2 linked regions of the Arabidopsis thaliana genome follow. The protein of the gene in region 1 interacts with the protein of each later gene in a pairwise test. Each region holds a gene or a part of one and is shown on either strand. Other genes may lie near its edges.

Region 1 (4,414 bases):
ATCAACTATAGTTTTAATCATCTGCATTGTAGACTATGTAGTCTCTAAACTTGCCCCTTATTGTGACAAGTCTACATTAGACGTGTATTTGTACAAGTCAAATCCAATTCATCATCCCACAGTCACTTATCAAATTTCAAATTAGAGCTTCTTAAAGTATTCTTCTTAGTATAAAAATTTTAGACAAGTCACACCAATCTTTTATCATATTAATTTTTACCCGTAAGAATAAGATCTATGTTTACAAATACGAATTTCTTACTAAACTACTTGTCGTGATGAATTTTGATAGAGATAATCATCAGAGAAAACAAAGAGAACTAAATAAATGCGTATAAGATATGAATAATATACAGAAGAGGAAAGAAATACCGAATACGTAATGGATATAAAACCAAAGTTTCAATTCCAAGACGGATACGAACAAGTTCGAGTTTCTCTCAATGTCCCACTCACATGCCCCATTAGGTTTAATTTGTCTTTCTGTTTTTTTCTTTTTTCTTTTTATTGTAGCCTTTGTTTGATTGAAGTCGTACGAGGCTCAAACTTGGTTCGACACATGGCGCTAACTGAATTGCGAGACGATTGTTTTCTAAAAGTTACAAAACACAACTCAAGATTTCCTGAACCAGAAGTCTTCTCTTATGGATCTCTCTCACTGGTCACTGTTAATTACAGAGACAACGCATATAATAAAAACAAAGTCTTCTTTTTATTCTTTTGTCTTCAAGTTCTAAGCAGGAAACAACAAACATTTTAAAGAACAAAGCAGTGAAGAAAACACGCTTCCTGTTTTGATGAGCAGATCACTTAGATGGGTCTCTATGGCTCTCCTCCAAGCTCAACTCTCAGGTTGTCATATGGATACACTCTCGGTGTCTGCAACAACACAGTAAGAGATTAACATGATATGGAAAACAAGTTCCACAATGACACAAAAGCAGAGAGATGATATGCCACAGAACAAATTCTAAAGTAAAAGAGAGCAGCAATTCAACTCATGTATAAACAAGAAGATATAGAGCAACTTCTCAGCCTTGGAGTGCTGTTCAACCTCTATAACCCTAAGTTCTTCAAAACAAGACACATCATAATAGCCTTTGATACAAAGTCTATGATTCTTGGCCAACGGACACTAAGAGAAGTAACATTTGGAGTAAAAAGAAGAACAGCAATTCAACTCATGTATAGACAAGAAGACATAGATCAACTTCTTAGCCCCGGTGTGGTGTTCAACTTCTATAACTCGAAGTCCTTTAAAGAAAACTCATTATAGTATAGCCTTTGTACAAAGTTTATGATTCTTGGCCAGTCGACACTAAGAGAACCAACTCATCGATTTTAGCTGCTCATGCACCTCAAAGAGCCTTCATGTCTTTCTTACACCTCTAAGAGATGCCACAGAACAACTTCTAGAGTAAATGAACAGCACCAATGTCTAGACAAAAAGCCAGAGCACCTTTTTTAGGCCTAAGTCTTTTACTCGGAATCCTTCAAAACAAGACTCATCACAGTATAACCTATTAACCTTTGATACAGAGTTTTTCATTCTTGGCCAGTGGACACTAAGAAAACTAAAACATAGATTATAGCTGCTGGTACATACACCTCTAGCATACGCTTAAGCATTTACCGAGTTCCCAAGAACACTGTGGGTGTTTCTTTCAAGTGTTCCTAACTACAACGTACATGCTCAAATTAATTAAGACAGGATTATGGAAGCAATGCGGACATAAGATTCATCTAGTCCAGTAACTTTGGTCAGATGCAAAAGCAAACAGCAAGAATTGTTCATGTTCATAAACAGACAAAATGCAGAACTGAAAGCTAAATATTGCGGCAATTCAGCAAATAAAGAAAAGAACATTGACACATTCTCTGTTACGCGAGCATATTTTGTAGATTCCTATGTTTTCTGTCCACATTTAGTTAATGAGTTTCTGAAGATTCCAGCAAAAACCTATTCTCAGAAATAAGCCAATGCCAAACATATGTATCAAATTCAGAGTTGAACAACATACATAATAACAGCTGCATAGGGATGATAGATCTTAGCATAATCATGACTTCGATCATCACACTCAGGACAACAAAATGGGCTTGATTATAATTTCGAAAGTTGAAAGCTTTGAACTTACAAATGGAACCTTAGAAGCTTTGTCGTTCAAAACAGCGAGCAGACCGAGACCAACAAAGAACCCTAATCCGCCACTCAACCATGCCAATGCTTCATACTGTTCACATTAATCCAAAATCAATCAGAAAAGCAATCTCTTTTTACACCGAGAATCACCAGCAATTAGAAATCGTGTAACCAAACCTTTCCGACGGTATCAGCAATCCGATCTATGCAAGGCTCTGGAAACGCAGTCCCGTTGTCCCACATCAGCTCGTCGTTTACCGATAGCTGACCCGCACAATTTGTAAACATCAGATTTTCAGAAGAATCTAACAAGAAATTTACAACAGAAATTTGACTCACCGGCTTATCGGGGACGATGTGTTTGCCGACGGGGAGACCCATTCCGGCGCGTTGACGGAGAGAAGAACCGACGGATCGGGCAACGACGCCGTTTCCACCCATGATTCGTGACGCAACACCGCTCAATCTTCCAGCCATTTTCGCTCTTTTCAGGTTTCGATCCAAAATCCAATCAAATTACAGATAGAGAGAGAAGAAAGACGCAGTCACTGAAACGATTCCCTGAAACGCCATCGTTTTAAAAGAGGTCAATATTGTAATTTCGATTAACGAATTTTAAAACCAACGAAATGAGCAAACACATACACTTCAAGTGTGTCAAAAAGCTTCAGATTCTTACTATATACAAAGAGATTCATGTGGTGAATACACAAAGGTACAAAAACAGAAAAAGCTACAACCTTTAACATATCTATAAACTACTCAACAGTGAGGCGCAGTTCGTCCGAGTCGGGATAAACTGTCTTGTTGTTATTATCACATTCGCAAGAGTTAATCTTGTAGAATGCTCTCCATTCGTCGATGTTCTTCATCTGATCACATCTCAATTTAGGTAACCTTCTTCTCTCTAAGATCTCTAGAATCTTCTCTGTTCTTCCCAGATGCAGAGCTGCTCCTCTTACTGATTCTTCCCTTACTTCTACAGCTGACACCAAACACTTGACGGATATCACTTGTGCTACGTTGCAAAAGCAACCTGACACTATGTCTGATATTGTGCTTTCCAGCTTTCTCAACAGAGCTTCCCCTGTTCCATAGTCTCTTGATTCGTAAGTTAGTAGAATTGTTTGACAGATTCGGTACATGGAGTTGGCTGCTAGAGTCTTGATGGGCCAGTGAGAGGGCTTGTGCTTCATGCATACCATCAGGTTCATCTGCCATGACTCTGAGAACTCTTTCTTCGCGATTTCCATCAGCTCCCGAAGGGTTTCTTCTGGATTTCTTTGTTGCTTTGATAGTTTCCGAAGATCCACATCAAACCACTTGTGATAGAGATCAACACCTAGCCAAACGACCTCAGCAGCTTTCCTGAGGTTAACTGACTCTCCTCCGGTATCCAGGACGCATTCAAACTTGTTGACATATTCCAGTGCCTCGTTGACAGCATTGAGTAACTTCTTCAGGGAGGAGGGCTTGATGTCGGGAAGTGCAACAGCAATACTTGTGAGTGTTACAAGCGGGAGAGCCCAACAATTGGGCGGTTCTCCGTGGGCCAGAGAAGCCACCTTGTTGCTGTCGAACTCTGCAATCCCTTCAAATCCTTTTGAAATGGGTGTTGTTGCTTCCAAAAGCTCTATCAGATTCACTGGTTGTTTCTTTCTGCCCTTCTCTATCCAATGATCTGTCGCTTCCCGGTTGCTCCGCACCATCACATCCACCAGCGGGTCCTCTCCTTCAAGGTGCAGGACAAAACTCGCTAGGTCCTGTCTCGAGCTTGGATTTGAATCGGATTTTTCTGACTCACTGTGTGTGATAGTATTACTGGTCCTTAAGGCGAAATGACAGCACAACAAGATCTTACCCACACAGGATACCGAGATGTAACGGATAATTTTGCTACCAAACACAATCACATACTGTATCACAATACATACATCCAATATCCAGCGTTTTGCATTGTGTGCAGTCTTCCTGTATCTGCGTTCTTTGAGGATCCAAAGGCTTAAGGGATGTTGCTTCTTCTCTGAGAACCAATGTGTCCAGTAACTCTCTATTCTAAACTCATCTCTATAATACTTCTTTCCTCTAATCGGACACCTGAAGTTCACAGCCGTGAACCATCTGATCGCAGGAGCAATGGTCCCTATAGCTACAGTAGTAGTCTGGCAAACAAGAACCAGAGAAGTTGACCATTTGTAATCAGAATCTCCATGGCAGAACCCAAGTGACCTTGGTCTTAAAAAGTAACTCCTAACCATAGCTTCACCAAGC
Region 2 (5,946 bases), on another chromosome or scaffold:
CAAATATGGTTAGTTTAGAGATATTGTTTATATTAAATTTGGTAATTAAATCATTAATTTTTGTTTTTAATTATTAGTTTTTAGGTAACTTTTCCAAAAATTAATGTTATCCAAGATCAGAACAGAATTAAACATGTTATCCAAGATCCGAACAGAGTTAAACCGGGTTATACCCACCCATTTGAATTAATTGTTGAATTATGGCTCAAATCTTCAACATTATCTTCAAAAACGTCTACAAAAATGTATATATAGATAACTAATCTGATCTCTATCTACACTTCTTTTGAGTATTTTTCCGAGACAAATTAAACTATGACTAGACAAATTATCATTTGTAATCTTTCCACTAATGAGAATAGTTTGTAGTTCCATTCATTCTGTCCACAAATGCTATGGTAATCAAATCAAAGTTGAGAAGACAAAAATATTTTCTATTAGAGGTAATGTGATTGAGTAATTGTGATTGAAATACTGTTGAATATTTATCCAAACAAAACATCTAAGAGCTATGATTTTTTAAAGTTAAGCCAAAATCATATAACAAATTCGTTTCAATTCATTTATCTGAAACTGGACATTATAAGTTCTTGAAAATTATGTATAAAACCCACATATAAAAAGGGAAAAGAATTTAAAAAACAAACAAAAAAATAGTGAATATAAACGGTATTTTTTTCCTTGTTCTCTGTCTTGGTTTTGTGTGTGTCTAGCTGATCTGTTCTCCGATCAAATCCAACCCTACAACCAAGAAAGACAGTCCCTGAAACAACAAAAAGTAGAAGTGAAGACCGTGCGCCGATAGAAAGCTCCTTGCAGCTGCGGTTAGCAGCAAGAACGCAAGCCCGAGCTCTTTCTTGAACACCATGTTCGTCTTCTTCTTGTTCTTCGGCCTCATTAGCCCTCCAAGGCTCTTCTTCACGGTTTCTTGCCCTACAAGATTTGTCTCTTGCTCCTTAAGTTTGCTCAGAAGCTCCAAACCTGACTCCGAGTTTCTCCTATGCAACTTCTCTTCCTTTTCAGCAAACGCTAGCAAATCGGACTCCGATGATCTCCCGGTTTTCTTCGTCACAACCCACTCGTAAGCCGATCCAAACTGAAACAGCCCGGAGATCATGGCGTTGAACTTGGTTATTGACATTGTGTTTTCGAAAAGAAGGTAAGGGACTAAGAAAGGGAAAGATTTAGGTGACGGGAGAATGTTGAGAAGCGAAATGAAGATAGGAACATAGCAGATGATCCACAACGGAAGCTCGGCTTCGGGTATGAACATTGTCAATGGAAGTATAATGCAAAAGAGTGTGAATGAGTAAAATGGTAGAATAAGCTTCCTTAGAAGAAAGAAAAGGAAGATCAAATTCGCCTTCTTCCAAACCGATATCTACAAACACAAAAACAAACAATGAGTATATGTAATGATGTTTAACTACTATCACTAGTTGTAGAAATAAACTTTTACCTTTGATTTGATAATTGAAGGAAGGCATAACCGGAACAGCTGCATAGGACCGGAATGCCAACGATGTTGTTGCTTCTTGTAAGCTTCATAAGACTCTGGCAACTCGCAAGTGACTTCAACATCATTAAGGTAAATAAACTTCCAGCCGTTGAGATGCGCTCTAACCGCGATATCCATATCTTCCACGGTGGTTCTCTCGAGCCATCCGCCGGATTCTTCCAATGCCTTGATCCTCCATACTCCAGCGGTTCCATTGAATCCGAAGAAATTGAGAAACACACCGTTCACTTGTTGTTCTACTTCGAAGTGGAAACATAAGTTTATGTTTTGTAGCCTCGTGAGGAGATTCTCATCTTTGTTCACAAATGACCACCTTGCTTGGACCAACCCTAGCTCTGGATTACCCTGTGCAAACAAACAACACAACACTCGTAAGAATCTTGATATTCAAAAATGTTTGCATAAATGTAAACTTCCACATGAATATACTTTTACATTTTAACAAAATCTATTGACTAGTCTACTTAAAAATTCCGGTCTCAGTCATCTTGAGTTCGACTCCAACAACCCACATGAAAAATAAGATATGCTCTTTAGGTGGGGTACATAAAAATAAAATAATAGAATTTCGATTTTTCACAAAACAATAACTTATAAAACAATTATTATTATAATATGTAAATGTAAAAACAAAGGAATAATTGAAACCCGGAATCAAACAGAATCAAGATTAGCTTCAACTAGATTGAATTTGAAGACTTGTCATGTTAGAAAAATCAACCAAAGAAGTCATGAGTTTTGTAATTTCATATTTGTCGGTTACTTCGATTTCATACATAACAAATTACCAAATTGGATTTTCCTAACATAAAACCAAAAATACAAAAAACAATATAAAAATTTGTCGGTTACTTAGAACATGATCCACCGAAAAATAGATAAAACCAGCAAAGACAACTGTCGGTGATGAGTATAATCAAAAAAATATTTTCTATCAAAAAAGTGTAAAAAAGAAACAAATCTTTTTCCAGTGAATTTCTCTAAAACATTCATCGTAAATTACGAAACGTCAAGAAAGAAGTTTCCTTTTATAAGTTTGGGAATAAAGAGATTGTGTTCTTACCTTGAAATGAGGAACAGTCTTCTTGAGGAAATCAGGATTTGGTGTGAAATCTGCGTCGAAGATAGTCACAAACTCGTAATCTTTAACGTAATCACAAGTCATGGCTGATTTCAAATTGCCAGCTTTGTAACCAGTTCTGATCAACCTATGCCTGTAAATTATGTTTACGCCTTTTTCGGCCCAAACCGATACTTCTTCTTTGATCAAAAGCTGTAAATTTGGATCGTCTGAATCATCTAATACTTGAATTAAGATCCTATCTTTTGGCCAATCAAGTTGTGAAGCTGCTCCTATTGATTGTTCATACACCTAGAAGAAAACAAAACATAACAATTATACTATGTAAGAGAAAACAGAACATAAAACAGAATAAAAACAGAGTAAAAACAGAGCAACACAGAGTAAAACCAAAGTGAAAACAGAGTAAAAACAGAGTGTTTATAGTTTACCTCTCGTTCGTTGCACATTGGGATCTGAATAAGGACCATTGGGAAACTGGAGGGGTCTTCTAAATCGATAGATTCTTCGGTGAGCTTAGGTTCGATCTTTTTAAATTTGATCCAAAAGCAACCGAGACAGAGGACTAACCGATCAAGAGACTGAATCAAAAAGAGTACAGTGCAGAATCTGGAGAGACTGATGACAAGAGGAGCGATGTAATCGGATCGAAACGAGAGCCAAGCCATGTACGACCATTCGACAAGCCCGTAAACCTCCCAAGACGGTCGGTTAATGAGATCAAGATTCCATTTCTTGAAATGTGCAACGATTTCTATGGACAAGGCAATAATGGAGATGACAAGACAAGCTTTGATGAATCTGTACATTTGTTTTCCTCTGCTTTTAGGATCTTCTTCTTCGTTAATGTTCTTCGCGGAGAACGCGATTCGCTTTTTAACCGAAGAGACTAGCCACGAGAGACACGAGATGAGTCTATGAGCTTTGAGAAGAAGGAACCATGAGAATTGTTTTGGACTGATGGATTTACGTTTGTCGGGGAATGAGGATGGATCTGAGCCGTTGATCTCTAGTAAAGAGAAGTTGTCTGGCTTCTCCATTGTCACTGCTACTGAATTTGGAGCCATGAATGATAAAGAAACAGAGAAGGGTGAGAAGAATAAAGAAAAGGTATTTGTGTATTTTGGTACTATGAAATGTTTGTCATTATAAAGAAGTGTAGAAGAATCGTCACTGTTTCATTAAATTTTCCATAAAAACAGGATCGTTTGTTTATGTTACACAGACAAAACAGTGTTCTGATTAGATCAGAATGTGAGATACTTTGGGTTCAGCTGTGTAACTGAAACTTGTGATTGAGAGAGAGAAAGAAAGAGAGACGAGGATCATGTGCTGAAGTGAACCAACTAAGTAAATAAAGAGGAGAGGAGAAGAAGAAGAAGAAGAAGAGAGTTCTCCTTTCTTTGAATTTTCCTCTTTTGTTTTTGTAAAGGAAGATTTTATTTAATTATTTTCTTTGTTTGAAAAGTCCAATTTTTATTAGTGGGATCTATTTCCAGCGTGCATAACTAAAGAACAAATTATATTTATTTATGACAAAAAAAGAAAATTTGATTTCTTACTATATGATCAATTTACTATTTTATTTTAGATTCTATAACAAATGATTCAAATGATAACTAATTTGTAAATCCCGTGAATTTTATTTTAATATTTTTTTATCAATCAATCTTTATTTAGAGTTCAGAATCCCGTGAAAATTATTAAAGTAAACATACTCGGAAGTTATGGTTACGTGTTTTTTTTATTAATTTTCAGAAATTACTAATTTATGTAGTTAATTTAGAGGCATTTTTTTTGATATATTGTATAGACAATAAAAGTTTATCAAGTACTAATCTAGTATTTAAAGAAGGCTAATGAAGAAGGCTAACGCATATAATCAAAGATTAGTTGGGTTTTCTTTCATATCATTTTTTTATATTAGTTAACGTGAAAATTTTAATTTGATGTTAAATACATTTTATCTTATATGTTAGTAGTTTGGAATCATTTTTTTTTGCCAGTCTTCTAAGTAAATTAAAAAATAGTAACCGATTTTTTTGACCAAAATCAATCCTAATGGTTTTAGCCTTTTAGGTGGAACGATTTGGTTTAAAGTTACTTTGTTAAGCAAATCCGCGTCTAGTGATTTGATTAAGTAGGAGAGAGACTGCTGTTTATATTATTTTGGGGAAATTTACATCTTTATAATTATACCCATAAAATGAAAATACTTTACTTAAAAAAAGCTATTGGCTTATGGATCTTACGCGATATGTCCAGTCATAAAACTGCGTTTATACATGCATGTGTGTGTATTAAAGAAAAACAAAATGAATGAGAAGAAAAACACAAAGAAAAAAAAGAGATGATTCCAAGAAAAGGCCAAAAATCAATTTGTATGATTGGTAAGGAATTTGGAGGATGACAACTTGGTCCAGCGATGACCAGATTAAACTTATAAAAATGTAATTAGATCAACTTTACTAAATTATAATATTACTTTAACTCAAAGTAATGGACTATGTTGTCGCTTCACTGTCTTCCAACTTTTTTTATTTGATCTTGTTGATTCAAAGTGTTAAATGAATTATCCAGTTACTGTAACCCTTTGATTTGGATAATTTTTCATTTCCAAGATAAATTTTCACTTATTCACAAACATTTAGCTTGTGATTTATCATCGATGATCAACGGAGTACAAGAGATAATAGAGCATGTTAGAAGTCCCACCTCAACTCTATGGCAGATTAGACAAATGTCATGGGTTTATTGTTAATTTTAAAAAAATTCTTAATGATAAAAGGTTTAATATTATTTTACTAAAAGATTTTAGATTTTTGTTGATTTTGCTAGAAGCTCAACGATATACTGCATGTTATTGTTAGATGGGTTCGATTATGTCATGCTTGTGTCACAAGACGTTGCAAAGTAAATCAAATCAAATCTATTTCACTTATATATATAATCAAAAATATGGATCTCATTTTCACAATTATCATATTTTTTTATAGACATACTGATATATATATTGGTTCTCTCTGGTCAAAAAGTTTGTTGGATGCAGGATTAAATTAGAACAGTATTTTTGAAAAGAAATTACAACAGTAATATATTTGATAGATATCGACAGTGTAACAACATGTAAAATGTGAGTAAACTATAATCACGATATATGTTTTATGTTTTAACTATTAACCCAAAACTATATGAATACAAGCTGTGTAGTAAAATTCCATAACAAAAAGATTTAATATTTTCAAGTCTAAGAAAAAGACAATAACCGTAACCGGCGGTGAGAGAAGAAAATCACATGGGAAGTTTCTATTTTACGAACATAAAATATTATTATATTAAAATATAT

The links. Proteins that work in one complex are often made in the same cells at the same time.
Region 2: the proteins of AT5G47570 (region 1) and CSLC04 interact in a protein complementation assay, tested with the Arabidopsis thaliana proteins (one large-scale study listed by BioGRID).

What each region holds. Positions count from the first base shown.
Region 1 is NC_003076.8:19,292,047-19,296,460, forward strand, and holds AT5G47570 (NADH dehydrogenase ubiquinone 1 beta subcomplex subunit), read right to left. Parts: upstream 2,755-4,414; 5' UTR 2,621-2,754; coding exon 2,483-2,620; intron 2,408-2,482; coding exon 2,321-2,407; intron 2,235-2,320; coding exon 2,139-2,234; intron 880-2,138; coding exon 823-879; 3' UTR 541-822; downstream 1-540. Other genes in the region: ASG7 (uncharacterized protein), read right to left, coding at 2,902-4,414. UniProt on the Arabidopsis thaliana protein: Accessory subunit of the mitochondrial membrane respiratory chain NADH dehydrogenase (Complex I), that is believed not to be involved in catalysis. Complex I functions in the transfer of electrons from NADH to the respiratory chain.
Region 2 is NC_003074.8:10,503,831-10,509,776, reverse strand, and holds CSLC04 (Cellulose-synthase-like C4), read right to left. Parts: upstream 4,067-5,946; 5' UTR 3,668-4,066; coding exon 3,032-3,667; intron 2,892-3,031; coding exon 2,583-2,891; intron 1,865-2,582; coding exon 1,460-1,864; intron 1,382-1,459; coding exon 710-1,381; 3' UTR 512-709; downstream 1-511. UniProt on the Arabidopsis thaliana protein: Beta-1,4-glucan synthase rather involved in the synthesis of the xyloglucan backbone than cellulose. Seems to work simultaneously with xyloglucan 6-xylosyltransferase.